Nothobranchius furzeri: one gene and its partners. The protein of the gene in region 4 binds, or shares a complex with, the protein of the main gene of each other region. Links are inferred from orthologs where the notes say so. Each region holds a gene or a part of one and is shown on either strand. Other genes may lie near its edges.

What was found.
Region 1: eif3g (region 4) and eif3d share a complex: the UniProt entries of both Homo sapiens proteins name them as parts of the eukaryotic translation initiation factor 3 (eIF-3) complex. The link is inferred for Nothobranchius furzeri from reciprocal best matches to the Homo sapiens genes EIF3G and EIF3D.
Region 2: eif3g (region 4) and eif3f share a complex: the UniProt entries of both Homo sapiens proteins name them as parts of the eukaryotic translation initiation factor 3 (eIF-3) complex. The link is inferred for Nothobranchius furzeri from reciprocal best matches to the Homo sapiens genes EIF3G and EIF3F.
Region 3: eif3g (region 4) and eif3i share a complex: the UniProt entries of both Homo sapiens proteins name them as parts of the eukaryotic translation initiation factor 3 (eIF-3) complex. The link is inferred for Nothobranchius furzeri from reciprocal best matches to the Homo sapiens genes EIF3G and EIF3I.

Annotation. Positions count from the first base shown.
Region 1 is NC_091745.1:29,242,245-29,248,337, reverse strand, and holds the end of eif3d (eukaryotic translation initiation factor 3 subunit D), read right to left. Parts: intron 6,059-6,093; coding exon 5,973-6,058; intron 5,895-5,972; coding exon 5,822-5,894; intron 5,153-5,821; coding exon 5,031-5,152; intron 4,951-5,030; coding exon 4,818-4,950; intron 4,732-4,817; coding exon 4,584-4,731; intron 4,415-4,583; coding exon 4,284-4,414; intron 4,215-4,283; coding exon 4,129-4,214; intron 4,044-4,128; coding exon 3,914-4,043; intron 2,312-3,913; coding exon 2,169-2,311; intron 2,083-2,168; coding exon 1,890-2,082; intron 1,804-1,889; coding exon 1,710-1,803; intron 1,309-1,709; coding exon 1,295-1,308; 3' UTR 1,192-1,294; downstream 1-1,191. UniProt on the Homo sapiens protein: mRNA cap-binding component of the eukaryotic translation initiation factor 3 (eIF-3) complex, a complex required for several steps in the initiation of protein synthesis of a specialized repertoire of mRNAs.
Region 2 is NC_091751.1:40,239,078-40,244,885, reverse strand, and holds the start of eif3f (eukaryotic translation initiation factor 3 subunit F), read right to left. Parts: upstream 3,633-5,808; 5' UTR 3,587-3,632; coding exon 3,475-3,586; intron 3,261-3,474; coding exon 3,190-3,260; intron 1-3,189. UniProt on the Homo sapiens protein: Component of the eukaryotic translation initiation factor 3 (eIF-3) complex, which is required for several steps in the initiation of protein synthesis.
Region 3 is NC_091751.1:3,239,052-3,244,814, forward strand, and holds the start of eif3i (eukaryotic translation initiation factor 3 subunit I), read left to right. Parts: upstream 1-1,965; 5' UTR 1,966-2,102; coding exon 2,103-2,105; intron 2,106-2,413; coding exon 2,414-2,506; intron 2,507-2,598; coding exon 2,599-2,686; intron 2,687-2,763; coding exon 2,764-2,829; intron 2,830-2,948; coding exon 2,949-3,098; intron 3,099-5,763. Other genes in the region: txlna (alpha-taxilin), read left to right, coding at 1-200. UniProt on the Homo sapiens protein: Component of the eukaryotic translation initiation factor 3 (eIF-3) complex, which is required for several steps in the initiation of protein synthesis.
Region 4 is NC_091745.1:3,308,947-3,314,957, reverse strand, and holds eif3g (eukaryotic translation initiation factor 3 subunit G), read right to left. Parts: upstream 3,826-6,011; 5' UTR 3,745-3,825; coding exon 3,722-3,744; intron 3,633-3,721; coding exon 3,586-3,632; intron 2,667-3,585; coding exon 2,578-2,666; intron 2,489-2,577; coding exon 2,429-2,488; intron 2,354-2,428; coding exon 2,249-2,353; intron 1,962-2,248; coding exon 1,766-1,961; intron 1,682-1,765; coding exon 1,571-1,681; intron 1,462-1,570; coding exon 1,325-1,461; intron 1,175-1,324; coding exon 1,068-1,174; intron 993-1,067; coding exon 977-992; 3' UTR 896-976; downstream 1-895. Other genes in the region: suppressor of SWI4 1 homolog, read right to left, coding at 5,304-6,011. UniProt on the Homo sapiens protein: RNA-binding component of the eukaryotic translation initiation factor 3 (eIF-3) complex, which is required for several steps in the initiation of protein synthesis.

The DNA of each region.
Region 1 (6,093 bases), about 26 Mb from region 4:
CCTAAATGGACCCTTTACTGGTACTGATGCAGAAGTTCCTGACAGGATACCAATGAGGTCATCTCGTCTCCTTCTGCATAACCAGGTCTGGGTCGTGGGGGCAGCATCCCAACTAGAGTTCCAGACCATCCTCTCCTCAACCACCTCCACCGGCAGGAGCTCAAGGTGTTCCAGAGCCAGATCAGAGATGTACCGTCTCCAACGTGTCCTGGGTCGACCAGGGGGGCTCCTGCTGGCAGGACATGTCTGAAACACCTCCCTGGGGAGACGTCCAGGAGGCATCCTGACCAGATGCCCAAACCACTTCAACTGAATCCTCTCGATAAGGAGCAGCGGCTCTACTCCAAGTCTCTCCCGAATGTCAGAGCTCCTCACCCTATCCCTAAGGGGCTCAGCACACGGGAGGCGACAAACGACCGCGATCAGCGAAATTCCTCGCTGTCGCTTTTATTACCGAACACACGGGAGGCGACCCGCGGCAGCGGCAAAGCCGTCTACGCGTTCTGTTCCATGGTGAAATGGAAACTTCCGTTGTTTTGCTTGGCTGTGTCAGGTTGGAGGGAATTAAGGTTATTTAAGCGGTTCAGAGTTAATAAAGCGCTAGATATGATGTTTCACAAGGTGCTGCTAGAGTTATGTGAAATCTTACTTTTGATTTTACTATAAAATATAATAATAATCAACTTCTCCTCCATGTTTGCTCGGAGGTGTAGGAGCATCCTGTCTGCTCATTGGTCAGTGAATGAAACCTCCGTTGATTGGTCCTCGTCCGAGCGACAGCGATGAAAAGTTGAAAATATTTCAACTTTCTGGGATCGCGTCGCTGGGTCGCCTGTGCACGACACGTGCACGAGCACAAAATTTCACACGCACGTTTTTCGCATTTGGCTTAGTAGGAGGGAGACCCGATTATCGCTTTGTCACGCACGTCTGATTGAACATGAATGGAGAGGCGATGTCACCTCCCGTGTGTCGAGCCCATGAGGCCGAGCCCGGCCATCCCGTGGAGAAAACTCATTTCAACCGCTTGTATCCGCCATCTTGTTCTTTCCGTCTTTACCCAAAGCTCATGACCAAAGGTGAGGACTGGGCGGTAAATCGAGAGCCTTGCTGGTCACGAACCAGAAAACAACTCTAGTTGTTTTTGACTTATTTGTATTCCTCCGAAATAAAAACAAAATTACACAATAATCCTTTACTGAATTTGACCATTCTGTTTTTATTAAGTGTCAAAATCAATTCAACTGTTTCTCCAGATGAAGGCTGGTTTGGTCACAGAAGGAAGCTCCACATTTCAGTTCTCTTCATCTGAAACAAGAAATCAATAAATCAGGTTGAATATGGAGATGCTTTCAATGTAAACAAAAACACCATCAGATCTCGTTTTAAAGCTGATGTACTGCACTAAGGGTCAGAGGGAAATAGTTTCCATTCTCCGTATGCGTGTGCTGCACATGTGGTAGACAACAAAGTAGATAGATGGTATTTTTATCCAGAAACCTGAAAGCCTCTGAAGTCACGAAAATAACTTCTTCTATAAAGAATCACATTTCAAAAGTGCCAACGGTTCTATTGTGGCCATCTTTGCTCTGGAAAGTGTACATCAGCATGATTCAGGTCCTTCTTTTGAAAAGATTTTAGTTTTCTCTTCATCTCTCAGGTCACTTCACTCTAAACGGTTTTCAAAAACCAAGTTTAAAATAACAGACCTTCCTCCTCCTCATCCTCTTCATCCTCCTCTTCCTCCTCCTCCTCATCAGAGCTGAAGGTACCTTCAGGCAGGCTGTACACTCGAATCACTTGCTGTTTAGTGGAACCAGAGTGAGAACGAGTCAGTACTTGTCAGCTGGACCTCCGTCTTTGGTCCTCTGGGACTCGTTTCCACTCACCTTGTTGGGGTCCTTCAGGATCAGGTACTTGCCCTCATCCAGCTTGCGGCAGATGTCGATGACGCAGCGGAGGATCCCCCAGGCGTTCTCCATGCTGAGGTTGATCTGGCTGGCAAACTCGTTGGGTTTGAACTGCTGGGTTCCCAGGATGACGTGACGAGAAGAATCCTTCACGTGGTACCGAGACACGTACCTGAGGAGCACACGTGGTGGAAGTCAGGTCCAGCCTGCTTAATGACCATCATCCATTAGCTCCCATCACAGGGTCGGCATACTCACCCCAGTTTCAGATACTCCGACCCGGCCAGCATGGCACAACAGGTCCAGCGGGCCAGTTTGTAGCTGTTGTTCTTCAGCTCGGTGGCCAGAACGGCTCCCCGCTGAGAGTCCAACTTCTGGCGCCAATCCACTCCATTACAATACTGAAGATGAAACAGAGATGAGGAATGGATCAACAACTCCCCGTCAGAACCGGGCTGCTGCACATGAACCAACAACATTATAGAGATGACTGGTTTCAGCAATAAGAATAATTTATGTTAATTAGATATCTGAATCTGTAAATTATTATTTAGGAAAATGTGAACTTTTGGACCGTCCCACTGATCAGGAAGACCAAGAAGGCGGTGGTTGTCAGAAGTCAGCCGGAGGGTTTGTAAACATGAATTCTGACCTCTTATAGACTTGATAGATTAGTTTAAGTTAGGGCTGCTCAATTAATCGAATTTTAATCACGATTACGATCTGAGTTTTGAACGTTTATAAAAAACAAAACAAGCCGATTATTTGCTCCTCCCGCTTGCGCTGCCCTGAGTTACAAATGAAGCGCTCCTCCCACAGTGTTGCCAATTTAGTGACTTTGACGCTATTTCTAACAGCTTTTCAGACCCCCTTCTTGACTTTTTAAATCTTAAAAGTACCTAGCGACCACCTCAGAAACATCTCTGGTAACCCTTAGCTACTTTCTGGATAACTGTCGTCGACATTTCCTGCAGGTTAGCTAAACACTCCGCCTGCGCGTCCGGACCGTTCTTCAGGACATTAGGAAAGGGAATGATGTAGTGATGTGTCAGTCGCTTAAGAAACTGCTCTCGGAGCCGGCTCCTTGTTGGATTAACCAGAGTGAGTGACACACACACCGCACCTGCGGACTCCTGAGCCACTAAAAACGGCTAAATGTGCGCGTGCTAAACACACGTGCAGCTTGCCCCGGATTGCTGTGAGACCGGGGTGGGGGGTGGGGGGTGCAGCTGTGGTTGAGACAATTATTACATTAACTGATGGACTTGTAAATAAATAGTTTATAAATAAGGTAGAAATAAGTTCCTCACGCTGATAACTAATCTCTCTGAGGACACGGTGCTAGTGCACTCTCCTACAGCACTTTGACACGACTAAATAAATATTATGCAACATTTTGTGAACATCAATTTATTTGCATTTATTTGTTATAAATGCCACTGTATAATTCTTGCTGTCAGTATTTGCAAGATATTGGTATTTGGGTCTGTACTGGTTAGACTTACATGAGTTAAACCAAGGTCTACAGCCCTTGGGTCATAGACTATGAGCTATAAGTATATTGGTCTTTTTATACTGGGAATCAGGAGTTACTTTAGTGATCATCTTGTTTCTTATTCATTGTTGTCCTGATTGTGGCCTGAGCAATTTTGTGACTGAATAAAAACAAATAAAATCAACATAAATTGAAAAATCGTCTTAAATAATCGTGATCTCAATTTCAGTCACCATAATCGTGATTATTATTTTTGCCATAATCGAGCAGCCCTAGTTTAAGTTAGCCTTTATTTAGGCTGAAGACAAGAAAAGTTACAGAAAGATTTCGTTTGCAGGAAATAAGAACATGGAACATGTGTTTTAAGAACTGAAGCGGTCCAAAAGGAAACCAACCGCCTGTTGCCACCCACAGCCTCCTGTTGGCCGCAGCACCCAGAGCCAGCTGCTGCTGTCTTACTGGACATGCTTTTGTTCCCTTCTCTGAAACCAGTAACGGTGTCTCCTACCCTGGAGTCCCACTCGTTCAGGGTCTTGACGTTGATGAAGGACACCTCTCCATTCGCTCCAGTCATCACTCCGTCATGTTCACAGCGGATGATCAGGTCGATGTCATCCCCGAGCTTCCAGTGACGGTACCTGAATCCCCAAAAAGCACCAGTCAGTCAGAAGATCCGGTTATCACGTCCCACAGATGGAGCCAACACCAGAACCCAGGACCTACCTGTAGGCCACAGACGCCACCTCGCTCTTGTCCATGTCTTCCTCCACAAATGGGTTAGGGTTTGGGAACTTGTACCGTTCTCCTCCCTGAACACAGCTGAACGTTAGAGTGTGTGTGTGAGTGTGTGTGTTTGGATCTGTGTGTGATGGTCTCACCACACGTAAACACTGCTGGCTGAAGTTGTGGTTGATGTAGGTGGCCTCCATCGCCAGGTTACGAGGAGAGTTAAAGGAGTTTCCCTCATCTTGAGGAGGCTCGTTGGCGGTTTCACTCACAGTTAGCAAATCTGTTCAAATAATTCAGGAAAACAACCTAAAATAAATCGTTCTGCTTGCATTAATCGGAGGTTAAACGCAGACGTGATCGCGTTTTGTTTGATGCCTTTGGCTGCAACTGCAGATGGAACCAGAGCTCCTCCGTTTTCAGGCAGGTTCGGCGAACTCCCCAAAACTCACCAAAGTCAGAGTTGTCCCTCTTGTCAAAGAAGAGCTTGTTGCCGACTCTCTGCACGATGATGTCCCAGGAGTTGACGGAGCGTGTGCAGCACATCAATGTGGCCAAGATAGCGTCTGTAGCAAACACGTTGCCCTGAGTCTTCGCCAGCTGGAGGAAGGCAGAACCAGATTAGAACTCCACCCAGAAAACATTCAGAGCCTCTGGAGGAGCTGGACCGGTGAGGAGCCACCAACCTTCCGGATGACCGGATCATCGGTGGTGGTGACGGTGTGGAAAATCCTCTTGATGCTCTTCAGCTGCTTCTCGTTGCGGGTGGTGATCCGATCGAACGCTTTATCGTAGTACTCCAACGCACCACAGCACTCGCTGCAGGAGGACCAGAACTTTACAGATGTACAGATTCAACCCAAACACAAACCAGACCAGACCAGACAAGCTTCACCTACATGTCAACAGGGTCAGAAACCTCCATGTATCGCATCTTCATCAGTCTGGGGAAGTCCATCTCCTCCTTCACCTCCCAGTCACTCCTCACCTCCACAGAGGAGTCTCTGGGCTTCAGCTGGGCCTGAGAAGCAGCACAAACACACAAATTCACCAAAGACCATCACAACGGCTTCAAACAGACCCAAATACTTCAGAATCATTCATCTGTGATCATGAATCCTCAGACTGAAGCAGAAAATAGAGGTCAACCTCTACTGGTTTCTCTATTGCCGACGCACACAGCTAAAGTCGACGCCGACACGTAGGAGATAGCCGATGTGACTTTTACGGCCAAATCCAGATGTTTTTCCACTTCTTGGTCATGCTAAAATGTCACTAACAACATCAGTTAATGCACTAAATTTCTGAAGTTGAATCGGTTTTTGAACCAACTTCTAAATTTTAACGTTGTGCACTCCGTTAAAATTAGACACATAAATAAAGTTTATTTAGAGTATTTAACAATGAACATAAAAATACATTTAAATTAAATTCTGCTACAGCACCTGGCTGCCCAAGGATGTGCCCGACTTTAAATCGGTTTTCCTAAGGACAAATATCACTCTGCCCGATGCACCCACAGAGTACGACTTACAAGGTATCCCTTCCTACTAGAGACCACTGCAGATGCACCGACTAAACAATGAACCGCACCTTTAAAAATAAACCAAGAATGTGTTTTTTTATTGGTGAATATGATTTGATTTCTGCTGCTCTAAAAGGGAAACAATAGAAATTAAATAATCGACACCTGAGATTTTTGATCCCACTTCTGACGGACACCAAACTGCTTCTGGAACTTCTTCTGCAGACGCAAACGATCTCTGAAAAGGCGAAAGAGTGAGGTAAAGCTCATTGTTCAGCTTGGATCTTTCCAGTGGAGCTCAGAGTAATGATCTCACCTCTCCTTCTGCTTGGCACTCTTAGGAAGTGTCTGCATGTTGAACTGAGTCAAGTTCCTACGGTCCTTGTCCCTGCGAAGGTTCCTCTGTGGAAACAAAGCCACGTCTGTTGCTGACCTAC
Region 2 (5,808 bases), on a different chromosome or scaffold from region 4:
GAATTTCATGAGATGTTTTTGCCGAACCGTTCCTGGACTACAAACCTCAGCAGACAGAGCAGCTGTTACATAGAAGAACCAGGTCACATTTGTTTTCTACATAGCAGTTTATCAAGGCAGTAGTGGTGATGATGCTGATGGTACAAGTGGAAATAATGATGAGGGCAGCACAGGTCATATTATTATTTAATGACAATATCGGTTGTGATACACCCACGTTATCTTATGACACTATCAACACTACATGTAGGGATTTAGGACAGTTGTTTGCAGCTTGAGTTTGTCATTTGTTGGAAGCCTTTGCATTATTGCTACTGCTCATGTCAATATTACCATGTTATTACATTTTCAATACTGCAACATCAATAATCATCTACACCGTACAGGGGTCCTCAGTTATAACGGTCCGAGGGCTACTCACAAAAAAGACCCAGAAGCAAGAGGGCCGGATTTTTGGGGGGGGGGGGGGGGGGGGGGGGGGCTGCTGTTTGGATCGCTGGCTGTGATGCACATAACACACAAGCTTGCAACATAAAGAAGTACCTTTCTCAGCGGCCTAGAGGTAGAGTGTCCGCCCTGAGACTGGGAGATCAGGGTTTGATTCCTGGCCGGGTCATACCAAAGACTTAGAAAAAATGGGACCCAATGCCTCCCTGCTTGACACTCAGCATTAAGGGGTTGGATTGGGGGGTTGAACCACCAAATAGTTCCCGAGCGCGGCTGTGTCTGCAGTTCACTGCTCCCCCAGGGGATGGGTCAAATGCGGAGAACAAATTTCGCACACACACCTGTGTGTGTGACAACTAATGGGACTTTAACTTTAAGAACACCTGTCCCTCTCCAGCTCAGCTGTGTGACTGCACTAACCTGTCCTGTGGGACCCTCACCATGTAACCCTCATGTCCATGCCGTCTCTGGAGGAGCAGATCATACAAGATCTCCCGTAACTTAAAATGAACCAAAGCCTCCTCCCAGTTTCTCTTTAAGCTGAATTTAACATCAGTTTATCATCATTAAACAAAAGAATAAAGTGGAACAATAACTTCTATCTTCTATTTCTCTCTCCTTTTAACTTCTCCGTGTCCCTAAATAAAAGAGACAGATGATCACGCTGCAGCCGCCGTCACTCACCCCGCTCCCTCCCCAAGGCCAGATCTCTCGACATCACAACACTGACTGAGCGCTTCGAAGAGAAATAATAATGAAATTATGAAAATAATAATGCGTGTTTGGAGGAGTGTCCTCCGACCCCCTCATCTCAGTCGCCGATTGAGCGAGCAGAGTGCGCCGTGCGACAACCCGCTCAATTAACATAATTCACGGCCCAAATCCAACAGAACCAATTGGGCTGATTCGGTTCGGTCTCAGGTTACAACTCCAGCACTCAGCCCTGCAGTACCACATAAAGGCGGACCAAAGTTTCCTACCCGGTAAATGTGGAGAACACCCACTTTGACAGATTTGGATGCTGGTGCCGCCGTTAAAATAACAAAACCACATTCCACTATAATTGATTAAGGTACTCTTCTATGACGCAGAAATAGTTTATGCCCGCATCTCATGCATTGATTATGAGTATTTTCCTCAGCTCTATCTATGCTACACCTCCCGGTCGGCCATCGCGGGTGGGGGTTTGGGGGCCACAAAGAGAGGGCTCGCCGGCCGGACGTGGCCCGCGGGCCGCCATTTGCGGACCACTGATCTACACACATGGTGATATTACCTCCTTATCTGGATCACCTACGTATGTAAACATCCCACCAGTTAACTAAATATATTCTAATGTTACTTTTATATCAGATACACTAGCCCACATCAAAACAATAAAATATGCAGTAACATTTATGCATATTTATTACTAGATGGCTGTATATCACTTTATACCAAAATGGGCAACATTTATTCTGAAGAATTTTTCCCACAACCTTGAATGTGTGTAAATTGACAGAAAATACTTTAATGTTTTTATGCATTCATTGAGAAGATAAGGTGTTTTTCACCGTTCTTAAAACAGTTGAAATAAAGATTATTCTCAAAACTAAAAACTTATGTACACTTGACATTTCATGGGAATAATGCAAATACTCATACAGATAAAGATCATTCTTTCAGCATTTCCAGAAGTTTGAAAAACACCTTGTGTCACTTAGTTATTACAGTAATTTCTACTAAAACCTAACATTTAAACTAGGTAATTTGTTTATGTTTATGTATTTAGCAGACACTTTTGTCCAAAGCGACTTACAAGTTATAATCGGCATGTTGCCCTTGAGGCTAACAACAACAAACAATTTTCAGTCAGTCGTAGGTGGCAGTGAGGCTGCATGATGAATCACGGAGAGGAGGGAACACGGAGTGGACAGGAGAGAGGAGGACGGGTGCAGGGAAGGTGCTAGTTTAGAAGATGCTCTCTGAAGAGCAGGGTCTTCAGGAGTTTCTTGAAAGTTGAAAAAGAAGCCCGTTCTTGTAGTGCTTGGTAGGCGAGTGTGCTCTTTTTGGCTGATTGAAGACCAGATGTGCCGTTGCGTTCTAGACCATTTGAAGAGGTCTCACAGTACAGACTGGAAGACCAGTTAGAAGGGCATTGCAGTAATCGAGGTGGGAGATGACAGTAGATTGCACCAGGAGCTGGGTGGCATGTTGTGTTAGGTATGGTCTGATCTTTCTTATGTTATACAGCGCCAAGCGGCATGAACGAGCAACAGAGGTAACATGATCTTTAAAGGTCAGGTGTTCATCAATCTCAACACCCAGATTTCGAACTGCCTTTGAAGGAGCCAGAGATAGGAAGTCATTTTGGATTGAGATATTGTGCTGTATGGATGGTTTTGCTGGGATGACAAGTAGTTCAGTTTTAGAGAGGTTCAGTTGGAGATGGTGGGATTACATTATTATGCACTGCTACTACTTGCCCACTTAATCAGCTTCAAGTAAAAATATAAATCTTTAACCATTTTAATTTTGGCTGTCAAGTTATTTTACCGAATATGAGCTGTAAACGATAAACAATGAATGTGGTAGTATCAACAATCCATTATTTGGCTCAACTCCTGTAACACACTTCCGTTTTTCTGTTACAATCCCAGTGATCGATGCAAACTGCCAGCTAGCAGCAGAAATACAGGGTCCCAATGCAGCCTGTGACAATCAAGACTAGAATACAATGAATTCGTGCTTTTTGTAGCTCACCTCATCTTCGGACTCGTTGTGAGGGACAGAGAAGCAGTTGGTCACCTCAATAGAGTGCTTGTCAATAGTACCTAGAACACACCAGATAGAAATGAGTGTCTCGTTGGGTTTCCTGGTGAATCAGCATTTACGTTCAGCTCCAGCGGTTACCAGATGCGGTTTGATTCAACACTGAACCGAGCCAACGTGCGCTAGCAGATTAGCTGAGGAGTTAGCTATAGCATTTTAGCTAGGAAAATTAAGTCTCCTCCCCCGGCTGGACAGATATTTCAGGTTTCTGCTTACCCAAGAGAGTTCCGATCACTCGACTTGCCCCCTCATTCCGACGCTCGTAAGAGTCAGAGATAGAAGCAAGAACGACGGGATGAATTTTCACCACTGGCCCGAACACCGACATCTTGGAGAAAGAGGACGTACCACCGTCCACAGCGACAACATACACCGCCACCTAGAGGCGGGCGGGCAAACTGCAGCTATTGAATCCTACGCTAATAAACAACTCGTCAACAGTGACGACCCAACAGGTAAACACCTGTTTCTGAAAGCAAATAGAACATACTCTTTTTGATTTTTCATGGTTTAGGGCGTAACTTGTATAGTTTTGCAACAATAAACGCACACAAAACAACAAATGCAACTGTTTATTTAATTAAAGCTAAATGTCACACATTTATGATTAAATGCAAAAACTGCAGTTGCTGTGGGGTCAGCAGGTGGGTGGAGGAAGACCGTCCCCCTTCTGTTGTAGAGATGAGATGAGCCTGAGCGAGGAAGGGTTACAGGGGCTGGACTGATGATGACAGCGTCCTCCGCCGCTCAGAGGCTGCACACCTGCCGACTCCATGAGACGCACAGATGAGATGATGGAGCTTTTCGCGCTGCCGGCTCATCCTGTTGCCACCATTTCGCACATCCTGGCACATGTTTTACAGACGCCTCTGCGCAGTCGTTGAAGTTAAAATGTGTGTTTTCTCACCGGATGACGTTTTTATTTACTGCGATTATTGAGCGATCGTTTTCGAGGCGCTTTCTTCCCCTTCTCCGGGTCGGTTTCCCGGACCGGCTCGCTGGTAGCTATAAAGAGCAGAAATGGGAGTCACCGAATCAAGGTTGCCAGCACCGGTTCGTTCATGGACCAGATGGTTGTTCATAGGATAAAACATCAGCTCGATCAATGCCAGAAGTTTCCACACTGAGCGGGTAGGTTTTTATTCATTCTCTGCTGGTTTTGGCACGAATCCGCTCTCTGGATCGTTTGGTTTCTGTTGCATTGTGGCTGACTCATTGACACTGTCAAGAGGCTATTTCTGATCCATCCATCAGGGGTGATGCGTCATCTTGATCTATCTCTCCTCCTGCATGGACGCACAACATCTAGGTCTGTGGAGGACCTGGACTCCATTTTACTGTGCAAATGATTCAGGAACACCATGCCTCACTGCATGTTTAACTCTGAGTCCTCTATGGGACTTATGTAAGAAATCTCAGCAGGCTCACAGAATAAATCCAACACATTTAACATCAAGTGCATGCTCACACACACACACACACACACACACACACACACACACACACACACACACACACACACACACACACACACACACACACACACACACACACACACACACACACACACACACACACACACAGAGCCCAAAGCTTTTTGTGAAACTAGCATAATTAAAGTGGCTCTAATGTGCAGCTGCTCTCCAGGATTAGGTTGCCTCTCAAAGGAGAGATTTATTCTGTCCTTGTGTTTCATAAAAACACACATTAACTAACAATAAATGAACAACATAATAATTTCTCTTACGCTGTATAATAAATCAAGTTTGTGCTGTGTGTTATTGCAGAAAAGACAATTTTAGTCAACAATTCCATAAACCCTAAAGGCGTGGGAAACTCATTTAAGCAACTGGTAGGAATGAGTGCCTTGCAAGCTTTACTCTGGGCAAAGAAAGCCCAGAAACGCCTGGATCAGCATGGGCAAGTCTGCCTAGAGGAGAGCTCAACATGGCAGGATTTGGGCTCATATTTCATAATATTTGGACATCTGGCCTCAGATTGGATGACAGAACTGTGACTCTACCTCTGACTTTGTTTGCTCTGAGACATGGATGTTTTATCTCCACAAATAACACAAGCCTGGGGGAGCTTCTGCCATATGGTTGATTTGCTAATGCTAACACTAACAGTTAGCTTCTGCAGGCCAAGATGCACTCTGCTAATTCTAGATGCTAAAGCAACAACAGCCTTCCCCGTCCAGAGCCAGGATGGGTGAAGCTACCGCTTGACGTAGATCTGCCAGGCTTTTCTGATCCTAGCGTTTCACTGTCTATTTTCTGTCAGAAGCTAATGCAGGAGATAGGTGTAGGAGACTATTTTCATGTTCAGCCTGCATGAAAACATACAGAGTGACCCATTATAATCAGAAATGGTCATTAAAAAATGGTTTTCCAGTGTTCTACACTTTTAAGAGAAAACAATAGAAAATCTATTTTCTGTCAAAACAACAAATTGATTCCATGATTTAATTCCATCACTGTTGTTCTCCTCTTTCCTTCCAGGCTTCAGTCAAGCAAACAAATGGTCCAATCAATAGCAACTGGACACAGT
Region 3 (5,763 bases), on a different chromosome or scaffold from region 4:
GACCCCACACCTCTGACCCAGGGACTGACTCCCCCTCCCCGCCTCCCACGGACTGTCCGCTGGAGGCCAGCACCTGTCCTGTACCAGACAGCTCCTCTGACTCCCCACCTTGCCACTGTGAGCCACAGCTGGACACAGTTGCACTCCCAGAAGAGGCAAACTCCCCACCTGTCCCTGTTCTTGTCCCTGCACAGGAATAAAGCAGGACTGCTTCGTCTCCTCCTCCCTTTCAACGTCCAACCACCAGCCTACAGGCCGCTGGAGCAGCTGATGTTCAACGCTGAGCTGGAATCAGATTTACACCAGATGAGTCCAACAGAAGGGTTAACGTGTGTCCTCCCAGCGTCATCTGCAGACGGGCTTCCTTCACCCCATCCTCTCCAGCTGAAACTAAGCTAGTTCAGATCATTTTATTACAATAACTAGAGTTGTTGCTGAAGGCTTTACTGAGCTGTGTGGGAGGACACCACCTAAGCAGGTTTACCACAGGTGTGTGTGTGTGTGTGTGTGTGTCTTAAGTGTTGTTTTCTTCCATCTCTACCATTCCTTCCTTTAAGTAAGAGCTGTGTGGGACTGTTGAGGGAAGCTTTTCAGTCCAGCCTTTTATCCTTTTTTTATTATGATTTTTTTTGGCAGAGTAAATCCTGGATTATTAAAGAACGTTTTAGAACTAAAACGTTTGAACTCTTATTCATTTGTGTAGTGTTTAAATGTGAGTCTGTATTTATTGTTGAAATCATACAGTCACTGATATCGGGGGTTAAAATAAAGGATATTTTCATTTAAGCTGATCATTTTCATTCATTTTACTCCAAATTTGTCATCCTTACCTCTCCTGGGTTATGTTGCACATTACCAGTTTAGTTATTAGTATTAGCACTTTTATCTCATTTAACTCCATCTTTGTTCCGTGTGTGTGTGGGATGTACCTGTTTATATCTGTGATGGTCCTGGGAACGGCAAAGGCTTCTGGTCAGGTTTATTCTAAAGAATGTCAAAGTTCCTCTATGCAACGCTTGCATCTTGGTTTTATTCTGTGGCCTCGACCCACGAGCACTTAGCTGAGAATGTAATCTCATCATATCCACTGTTCTGCATAAATGTGTCGGGGACGACATATCTCACAGTTTAAGGCCTTTTTCTTCCAAGGGGTTGATACTTTTACATTGGGTGCTTTTGAAATGTGCATTGATCTGAGCCAAGTGAGAAAACTGAGAGGAGAAGTCTAATTTGATTTGGTTTCCTCCAAACACACGCCTGTTTCCCCTGTGCACTACATATGTAGTTTCGACAAAGCAATGCCATCCGAAACAGAAATGCAAATGTTTTTCAGTCTACCATAGGATGTATTCACTGTACTGTTTACTTTTCATATAAACCAAAGATGTCTCCCTGTTGTAGTTTATCTTTTGCAGTATGTTATTTTCTGGCCCTGATTTTAAATAAAATTAGAGTATGTCTGATTTTCTGGCAGATTATTTTTTACAGTGAATTATTTGTGTCATAATGAGAATTTTGAGAACTATGGAGATAATTTATTGTGATTTTTGAGATTTTGTGTCACCATATTTCCAGAATGAAGGGCACAGGACTAATTTTTCTTTTTAAATACTGTATTTGATGACCTTCAAAAAGAATCCAATAAAATCACTGTCAGAAAAGTAAATTTAAGTGACAGAAACTAAACGTAATAAAAGAAACTGGTGAGGAAGGAGTGGTTTCGTGACTGACAGAAATGCAAAATGATTTACAACTTATACAGGAGGGTGGCATGTTATCATACATTATGTTGATAAATATCATGTATGTAGCAGTATTCGGGATTAAATATTCACAAATGAGCTGATAAGGAGCAGGACTGAAACGAGCACAAGTTTGGGATCAAATTACTTTATTTTCTAGATTCCAGAAAGTCCTTCATACCACATTTGTCCAGGAGGGGGCGGCAGGTCGTCCATCTGCGGTTAATACCATCGAAGAAGAAAATGGAAGCCTTCTCTTCCGCCACAGCTCCGGTGTCTGACACATGAGGGTTTAACTTTTCTCCCATTGTGAGGCGCAGCAAATTGACTAAAGCATCTGGAAACACCTAGCTGACGACAATGGTTGGTATATTTATTTACAAGGCAATGTTTACCTGGCGGTTTTCAGTTTTTGTTCTTTAGCTTGTCGCTGTAGTTTGGGGTTTTACTTTGTCTGTTGTGGCTAGCTATAGCTTTTCACGTTAGCTAATGTACATATTCATTTTGGCAGAAGTCTTGAGTTAGCTAAGCTATGAAAGAGATTTCTGTGACTCGTATAGTGTTGGTGCTTTACGCCTAGGCAAGTCAAAGCTACGTTATTCTTTCTTTTTTCAATTAAAACAGTCATGTGTAAATGCTAGCTTAATCTGAACCGTTATCGGTGTTTCTAGAAACCCATTTTGCTCCAGGGCCACGAGAGGTCCATCACACAAATCAAATACAACAGAGAAGGAGATCTGCTCTTCTCGGTGGCTAAAGATACAGTGAGTTGGTACACACTCGCTCTTCTGTCGGATCATTCAACACGACGTTTGGGAGCAGCCAAACTCATCCCTGCTGTTCTGCTGCTATCCAGGTTGCCAACGCGTGGTACTCTGTGAACGGAGAGAGGCTCGGGACCTACAATGGACACACCGGAGCTGTGTGGTGTGTTGACTGTGACTGTATCCTTTGCACCTCTGCCTAATGTAAGCTAGGGGTGTCTGTCAGTGAAGTTAGGCATCTTAACTAGTTGTCTCAGGGGACACAAAGAACGTGTTAACAGGATCAGCAGACAACAGCTGCAGGCTGTGGGACTGTGAGACTGGTAAGTAAACCTTAACAATGTGCTTTTCCAAAGAGGTGGACATGATTTTTAGGGTATTGGGATAGTTTGTAAACCTGACATCATGCTGTCTAAATGACATCTTTAATGTGTTTTCACAGGTAAACAGCTGGCTCTGCTCAACACCAACTCTGCCGTCAGGACGTGTGGGTTCGACTTCAGCGGCAACATCATCATGTTCTCCACCGACAAGCAGATGGGTTACCAGTGCTTCCTGAACTTCTTTGACCTGAGGGATCCACAGCAAATAGGTAAACATTAAATGCGCAAACACACACACGCACACATGTTCTGCAATGGTGTGGCCACAGTATATGGACTGGATATATACCATTTTAAACAAACTTTCTTACACTTTTTGCAATTTTTAATGTCAGTCAGACACCTAAATAAAGTTAATTTAGACCAATCCTGGTCCTGGAGGGCCGGTATCCTGCATGTTTTAGTTTGAACTCTGTTTCAATACTCCTGATTTCAATCAGCAGCTAATTAGCGGTCTTTTGCAGCGCCTGATGAGCTGCTGCACAGGTGTTTCAACCACTGAATCAAGTCTGTAGGAGCAGAAAAACCACAAAACCTGTTGGATACCGGTGTCGGCACAGGATCTGCTCGGGTGCAAAATTGGCTCAGGGTCCGTCGACTGCCGATGACGTCTAAGTAGTTGATTGGCTGCACATGAACCTTACGGAATTACGTAATCACGTTACGTTGTTATCACGTTACGTTGGTCCAGGCAAATCTTTCTGTTGGAAAGATGGACAACTTTTACAAAGAAATCCATCATTACCTCTTTGAAAATACACTTTGAGCATAGAGCTGCATGTATATTAGGGCTGAACGATTAACTGCATGTGTAATTAAATTGCGATGTGACAAAAGGAGATTTTCTAATCGCAAAGGCTGCAATTTGGCAGCGAGTGGTTAGCGCAATGCTAATATACATGGAAAAACCCATAGGAATGCTAATGCTAATATCGCCGATTACATGATCAAATTATGAATTAGAAACGTGCCAAATGATTACATTTGGAGTCTAATAGAAAGTAAAAATACCATCAATCAAATAAGTACAGACAGGTATTTTAGTAAAGCCAGAAAACTTTTAACTCCAGAGTTTTGGCTAGCAGCTATGAGCGTAATGAACTACGCATGGACAAGACGTCAAAAACTCTAAACACAAAATACTTCAATAAATGGGACACACTTCTTTCCTGCAAATACAATTTCACAGGTGTTGCTAATACCTATGATTCTTCAAGGGATGTGCTCAAAGAGGAGTTCAACATCATGACTACAATATAGTGTTTTATTTTACAAATACCATTATAAACACAAACTTACGTCTTAAGAAACATTATTTTAATAAGGAAACTGCTAAATTCTTTCCAACAGTATAGATGTGTACTGTATTTTGTCCGAGTGGGTTTGCCGTACTTTGACGTCATCGGCAGTCGAAGGACCCCGAGCCGATCTTGTACCGACACCGGCCCTCCAGGACCAGGATTGGGCACCCCTGATTTAGAGTATTTATTATGCAGATGTTATTAGTGAATGTTGGGGAAAAAATTTGAATTAAATTCTGCAACAGCACCAGGGTGACTATAGATGTGCCTGACTTTAAATCAGCTTTACTAAGAAAAAACAGCCGATGAATAAAAAACTAAACATTGGCCAACCAATATAATCGGTCCACCCCTAATTCACTCATTCCTTTATTCCATGTAGCAGCTCAGTGGTCACTGTTTTTCAAAATTGCATTGATTCATGTACCAGACTATTAGACGAAGAAATAAGTTAAGATCGTCTAGCCTAGTGAACTAGACCAAATTCTTGCCTTGTAATGTTTGGTGTGGGAACGCTCCACCGGAACTTCTGAGGCCTCCTAGCAGCATTCTGGCAGATGTGTTTTAGTCTTTTATTTAGAAAAAGGATGTATTTTTGCCGCCTTCAACGGCAGACATCCTTGTTTACAGAGGTTGCGGTGAGTACTCCACGTTGTTCGTTGTCCAGTAGGGTGCAATGATTGTTTGAAAGACAACGGTAGAACCCGCCCCACGACAGGCAATGGAACATTAAATAATATTATGGATTTAGTCTGGCGTGCCAGGCTAAAGAACATCCAAAATATCTCAATTTAGAGACTATTTTAAGCTAAAGAAGGTCATAAAAGTGCCAACTATGCTTCTGTTGAAACACACGTAGATTTCCTCAATAACACGTGTGCAGCAACTTTTCCCACACTGAAACATTTCAAAATGAATTGACATGTTTTGTGCACGTGTCCTGAATCAAGTTGAAGATGGTGTGATGTAGGGTCGTCACGGTGTGAAAATGTAGCCTCGCGGTTATCGTAACCAAAATGAAAACGGTATTATCGCGGTATTTTTTTAAACGTGTTACATTTTCAGACAACTAAATAAACCCTGTATGTCAGGAAAATATTGTCCTCAGTTTGTGTCTAAATTTTGCCTAAAACGTGTTATTTTGTAATTATGTTGTTTATTTGTTTACATTTTTCCCCTTTAGTCTTTAAAATACCAATATTTGCCCATAACTTCAAAATTTTTTGTCTGTTTGATGTCATCATTTTAAAAATATTAGACCAGATGATACTCAGTACTCAAGTAGCCTTCTAATCAGATACCGTATTTTCACGACCATAGGGCGCACCGGGTTATAGGGCGCGGGCATGGGCACGTTCAAACGTACCGGTGTCGGTACAGGATCTGCTCGGGTGCAAGATCGGCTCGGGGTCCTTTGACTGCCGATGACGTCAAAGTACGGCAAACCGACTCGGACAAAATACACTACACATCTATACTGTTGGAAAGAATTTAGCAGTTTCGTTATTAAAATAATGTTTCTTAAGACGTAAGTTTGTGTTTATAATGGTATTTGTAAAATAAAACACTATAT
Region 4 (6,011 bases):
CAGTCTTACGGATTGCGGTTTTGAGTAATTAACCAGGCTGGGTGTTTTTGAATGCCTCAGGAATCTTGCAGGTGTTTAGAATTAATTAGTTCATTCAGATGATTAGGTTAATAGCTCGTTTAGAGAACCTTTTCATGATATGCAAATTTTTTGAGATAGGAATTTTGGGTTTTCATGAGCTGTACGCCCAAATCATCAATATTAGAAACAACAAAAGGCTTGAACTACTTCAGTTGTGTGTAATGAATCTAATATATATGAAAATCTAATGTTTATCAGTACATTACAGAAAATGAACTTTTATCACAATTTGCTAATTTTTTTAGAAGGACCTGTAAATAATACACAACCTCATGTCTTCAAGGTATGGCATTAAAAACCTTGTTTCATCGATGGATGTTAAACAGGCATCTGAAGAACTTGAGAACATGGTGAAGAAGTGAGTCGATCACTAACCCAGGTGTTGGAGCAGGTAAGTGGTGGCAGAGGCTTGCAGCATAGAATAGTCCTGCTTTACAGCATTCACACATCTGGATTATGAGCTTATTTAAGACGCCTACACGTGTAAAGTGAGTTACGCGGTAAACAGATGCATCTTTTTACACAAGGCGTTGCCATTTTGTTTCCTGGCCACAAAATGAAGCATTTGTAAACATCAAATATGCAAGACCATAATGACAACATGCATTACCAATGTGTTTGTCAAGTTTATCATGGCAGATTTTAATGCATTATAAATATTTTGGGGCAGTGATTGTAGTAATTTCTACACACATTGTCCATGACTGACACAGGGACCAACTGTGGGAACCACTGTTCTACAGCAGATGGTAAAACATGACTTCAAAGAACCATCTCTAGGCTCCAGACCTTAGCACAGAGTCAAACAGAGAAGCAGCGACAAATTATCTTTATTTAGGTAACGGCCACATTTCATTAATTCTGGCATCTTTCTGTTAAGATTCTGATGAAGTCCTCAGTTGTTTGATGGTCTGTAACAGAAGTAAATTATGTTAGTGAATATGAAACACTGATCATTTTACTGACAACAGTGATAATTTACTTACTTGGCCCATTCAACATTGAGAATAAGATGATCATATCCAAATCCTGACACTCCTGCTATGGCTCTGGCAGCATCCTCCCTACGGTGGAAACTGATGAAGGCAAATCCCTGCAGAGCAATAAAAAAAAATCTGACTGATGATTCTTGATTTTTTCAGCGTCAATCTCAAATCCTAGATGGTAGATAACAGCAGGTTGCAGAAAAACTGTGAAAGGCCAGCACTTGTAAAGCCCAGTCACCCCTAAGGTGAGCACTAACCTTGGACTGTCCCGTGTTCTTGTCCTTTGCCAGATAGATCCTTGAGATGGAACCAAACGGTCTGAAAAGCTCCTGCAAGTCTGTCTCACGAGTGTCCTCAGACAGGTTGGTCACACGGATGGTAGCGTTGTCATCAGCTGTTAAACGCAATGATTCGTTTTACTGAGACGTTTATTCAACGCTGCATGACCAGATTAAAAATGACCACATATTGCTAATGTAGCACCCATACCAACACAAACTGACCTCTGCGGTTAGGCTGCATAGACTCCCCTCTTCTTGTGCCTCCATCTCTCAGGCTCGGCGGGACATACTTTCCAGTTTTGCTTTGTGCAGGCTGAACAGGCTCTGGCTCAGCTAGGAAAAGCCACAATTACTGTCACACCTTTAGAAACTAGCAGCAGCAGACAAGTGTGGTAATGAGAATGGTGATAATGGTACCAGAACCAGCAGTCTTTTCCTTGTCTCCAGTGGAAAGCCCAAGCTGCTCAGCCAGCTCCTTCTGCATGGGGCCCAGCGTGTCCTTATACGGGCAGCGGGTCGTCCAATGGTCCCCTTTACAAATACGACAAGACACAATCTTCTGCCCTTTGAGCTTGTTCATTGGATCCTCATCTTGGTCTTGGGCATTCAGGTCCTGCAAAAAAAGCAAGATTAGCAACTTTGATAAAACAACTTGATTACAGTAAAAATTACAAATTTGCAGCCATGAACTTCATAAATTCTGAGTCACATTACAGAATGAGAAGATCTAGAGCTGTTGAATGTGGTAATTGTGAACACCAAGCAAGCTGTAAAAAGTAGTGCAAGCAGCATTTTAAACCTGCTGCGAACTATCGATGCTCCATTAGAACATTTCCTAAAGAATGTTCTTGTTCGTTTTTGCGTTCTGAAGGAAAACAGCAACTTGGACATATCCTGTACCTCCTTGCTGGAGATGAAAGTCATGAAGACGTCATCGCTGACAGTGGTGGTTGCAACATTAGGACCCGGTGGGTCAAACTCAGAGTTGCCGAACTTCTTCCAGTTCTGAAATGAGAGTGGTAAATATCAGAAGGCGGTTCATTTATTAACTGCACTGATATGATTTAATAAAACACGGACCTTTCTTCTGGCAACAGCTTTTGAGGCTTTCCTCGTCTCGATCTTGAAGGTCCGCACAATCTAGAGAACCAAAATGTTTCACTTATAATATTTCAGGAGACATTTATTATTTGCCTTTTAAATTTATTGATGCAACATAAACAAAGTACCTTGAACTTTTTACCATCATCATCTATCTTATACTCAGTGATTGTTTTGATGTTTCCTTTGATGGTCTCCTTTGGTGATGGTAATGTGCCTATGGGATCAGAATCATTAGGGTTTTAGTGACATATGTGCGAGAAATCAGATTAGGAAATTGCTGCGGCACTTTGTGCAAAAAAGAACGATTAAAGTAAGAAAACAGCAAATATGGGAAGTAAGAATATAATCAAGATAAAGGTATACAACATTCGCAGATGCACGAAAAACAACCATAAGCTTAACATCCGGGGATACTTTAATAACTTTCAACTAAATGTGAGTTTATCTGGGACTGATCTGAACTGTCAGGATCAGGATGCTCCTGATGTGACGTCACATCTTCGTTTTCACATCAACTGGAACAGTTGACGACTTTAAATGTTTTATGAATATTTAATCAGTCTAGTTTCCGTCAGCATCATTATCTTGACTGTTTTTACACCCCTACGTCACTGTCAGGGGACCACTGCCTCATTATCATAACGCAATTTCTTAAGCCGTTCGTCTCTCAGTCACGCCAACCCATGACTGATTTAAGGGCAGATTCTTATAAAATTTAACAAACTTGCATATTTTAGCTCGTCTTTAATGCTGTTCAACCACGTGGAACTGCAACACCGGCCTCCTTTGTGTAACCGGGTCAGGGGAGCACTGAGTGTTTTTCTTTATATTATTGTCTCTTGTCTCGGGTCCCTACAGCGGCTTTGTGCTTTTAAATAGAAATAGATGGCGTTGCGTGTGTAGTCCCAGGGCCAGCATTGTCGTCGCTCCTCCCTCCCGTGTTTTAGAGTTTTTAGTCTACTTTTTATCCCGACCTGGGTTGTATCTATAAATAAAAATTGTTAAACTTGTGAATAAGCCTCTGCTGTTTTCATCAAGGGTTATTATCACCTACGGTTTTAGGATCTTAAGCATCCAACCCTCTAGGTCACATTTGCCACCGAGCTAGCTAGCGAAGCTAAAATGCTGTTTACCTTCATCTACTTCCTCCTCCACCTGGTCAGCCCAGCTGGGCTTTGAGCTAGAATAGAATCACACAAACTCGTTATTACAACGGTTACACGCATTCAATAAAGACACAAAAACCCTACGTTTCATTTAGACTCTTACTCGTCGTATTCAATCGACGGCATCCTCTCGGCTAGCCTAGCTTCGGAAGAACCAGCGCGAACCGAGCACCGCACTTCCGGAGGTTAAAACTTCGCAATAAAGGCACAACTCGTCAGACTTTTTCAAAATAAGAGCTTATTTTTGGTGCTGACAAAAATTGTTGACAAAATCGTAAAATTGCATAATAAAAATTCGTTGTTATTGTTATGAAAATAACTTCTCATGTGGATTCTTAATGTGAATTCTGTGGTAACTTAATTCGTATTTGTGCTTAAAAATATTAGGAGCATCAGATTTACACATTTGTTGTCAAATTTCTCAAAAGTCAAAAGAAGTATGATGAGTTTACAAATCACCCCAGTGGCAATATTAGATCGTTTTTATTTCATTACAAGCAAAGAAAAAATGCACATATTATAGAAAACATTAACTTCTTCCTCCTCCCTGCTGTCTCTCTTTTTTCACTTGGAACATTGTACTTGATGAGTGTGTTGTGAATTAGTGATGAAGGAAATTGCAGAATGAGAAAAAAATAACAAATGAAATGAAACTTCAATCTGGTTTTCAGTGGAGCAATAAAAGTACTGGAACTTTTACAAAAGTGCTCAATCACTATTCCAGCATAGATTTTGGGTCATAGCAATTATAGTTATGAAATAATAATAACAACAACAACAACAACAACAATAATAATAATAAATACAAGATGTTTGTTTTTCCTGATAGGTCATATCAACATAAGAAAACCGTCATTACATCAGGATTTGTTCCAACGCTGCAGGAAAGAAAAACTGTCAGCAGTAGCAGGTGCAGACAAAACGTGTGCAGAATTAATTTCATATAAAACTAGAGGTTCTTATGTTGTCTTTAAAAAATAGCAATAATATGTGAATGACTGTGTTGTGAAGCACCTTGGGGGGGTTGTAGAACCCTAAGAAGGCGCTATACAAATAAAGACGATTTATAATGATAATAATAATAATACATTTTATTTCAAAGCGCCTTTCAGGACACCCAAGGTCACTTTACACAAAACACGTAATAAAATACAATAAAACAATAATAAAACCCAAAGAAGAAACAACAGAGAGAAACATTTCAATAAAATCAGAGGTTTTAGGCAGATTTAAACATGTGTGTTTTGAGTTTTGTTTTGAAAAGGGTAAAACTGTCGACGTTCCTGATGTCTGGGGGAAGTGAGTTCCAGAGTCGAGGAGCAGAGCGGCTGAAAGCTCTGCTCCCCGTGGTAGCGAGACGGGCAGAAGGAACCGCAAGATGGATGGAAGAAGAAGATCTGAGTGAACGGGACGGGGTGTGAATACTTATAAGGTCTGAGATATATGGAGGAGAGAGGTTGTGGATTGCTTTGAAGGTATGAAGGAGAATTTTGAAGATGGACCTGAATTTAACTGGGAGCCAGTGAAGCTGCTGGAGAACCGGGGTGATGTGGTGAAAGGAAGGGGTTCTGGTGATAATACGGGCTGCTGAATTCTGTGCCTGTGCATTCTGGTAAAACGATTTACCGTTTAAAAATAAGCAATAAGGATATAGCTACCATACATGAAACCACTGAGCAGCAGCTCTACTTCCTCTGTGTCTGTTCATCGTCTTGCTCTTGGCCATTTCCACAACACGCTACTCTAATGCTGTCAAACACAGCCATGTAGAGCACTGGATGGATGCACATGTTCAGCGTCGCTAGACCCTTTGACACCTGATACATTATGTAGAACCCGCAGGTAGAGTCGTGAGGATTGTAGATTTTCTGGTAGAAGTGACAGATCTGAGAGAAGTGGTATGGTATGAAGGACACAGCATACAAGGCAATCACTGAAGTGACCAGCAGGGTTACCTTACGCCTCTCAATCACCGTCAAGCTGGCATTCTGCCACACCACACGGATCACCAGGCAGTAAGATGTGAAAGTTACCAGGAAGGGGACAAGGCACCCAAACACCGTGAGGAAAAGCTTGTGGGTGAAGTGAGGCATTGGGTCTTTTGAATCGCAGAAGGACACACACACAGTGTTGCCTTTGTTGTTGGCATCAGGGCAAATGGAAGCAAATTTCCACACCGGGGAGGAGATGACTCCAACAGTGATCCAAATGATGACGCTGACGACTTTAGCATGAAAGGCCTCCACATACGAGCGTGCAAAGAAGGGCCACACGAGAGCCACACATCTGTTCACGCTGATTGCCATGACGAAGAAGATGCTCACGTACAAGTTGCATGTGAAGAGAAACCTCTCAGTTTTACACATGGCATCCCCGAACACCCACTCTTTTCT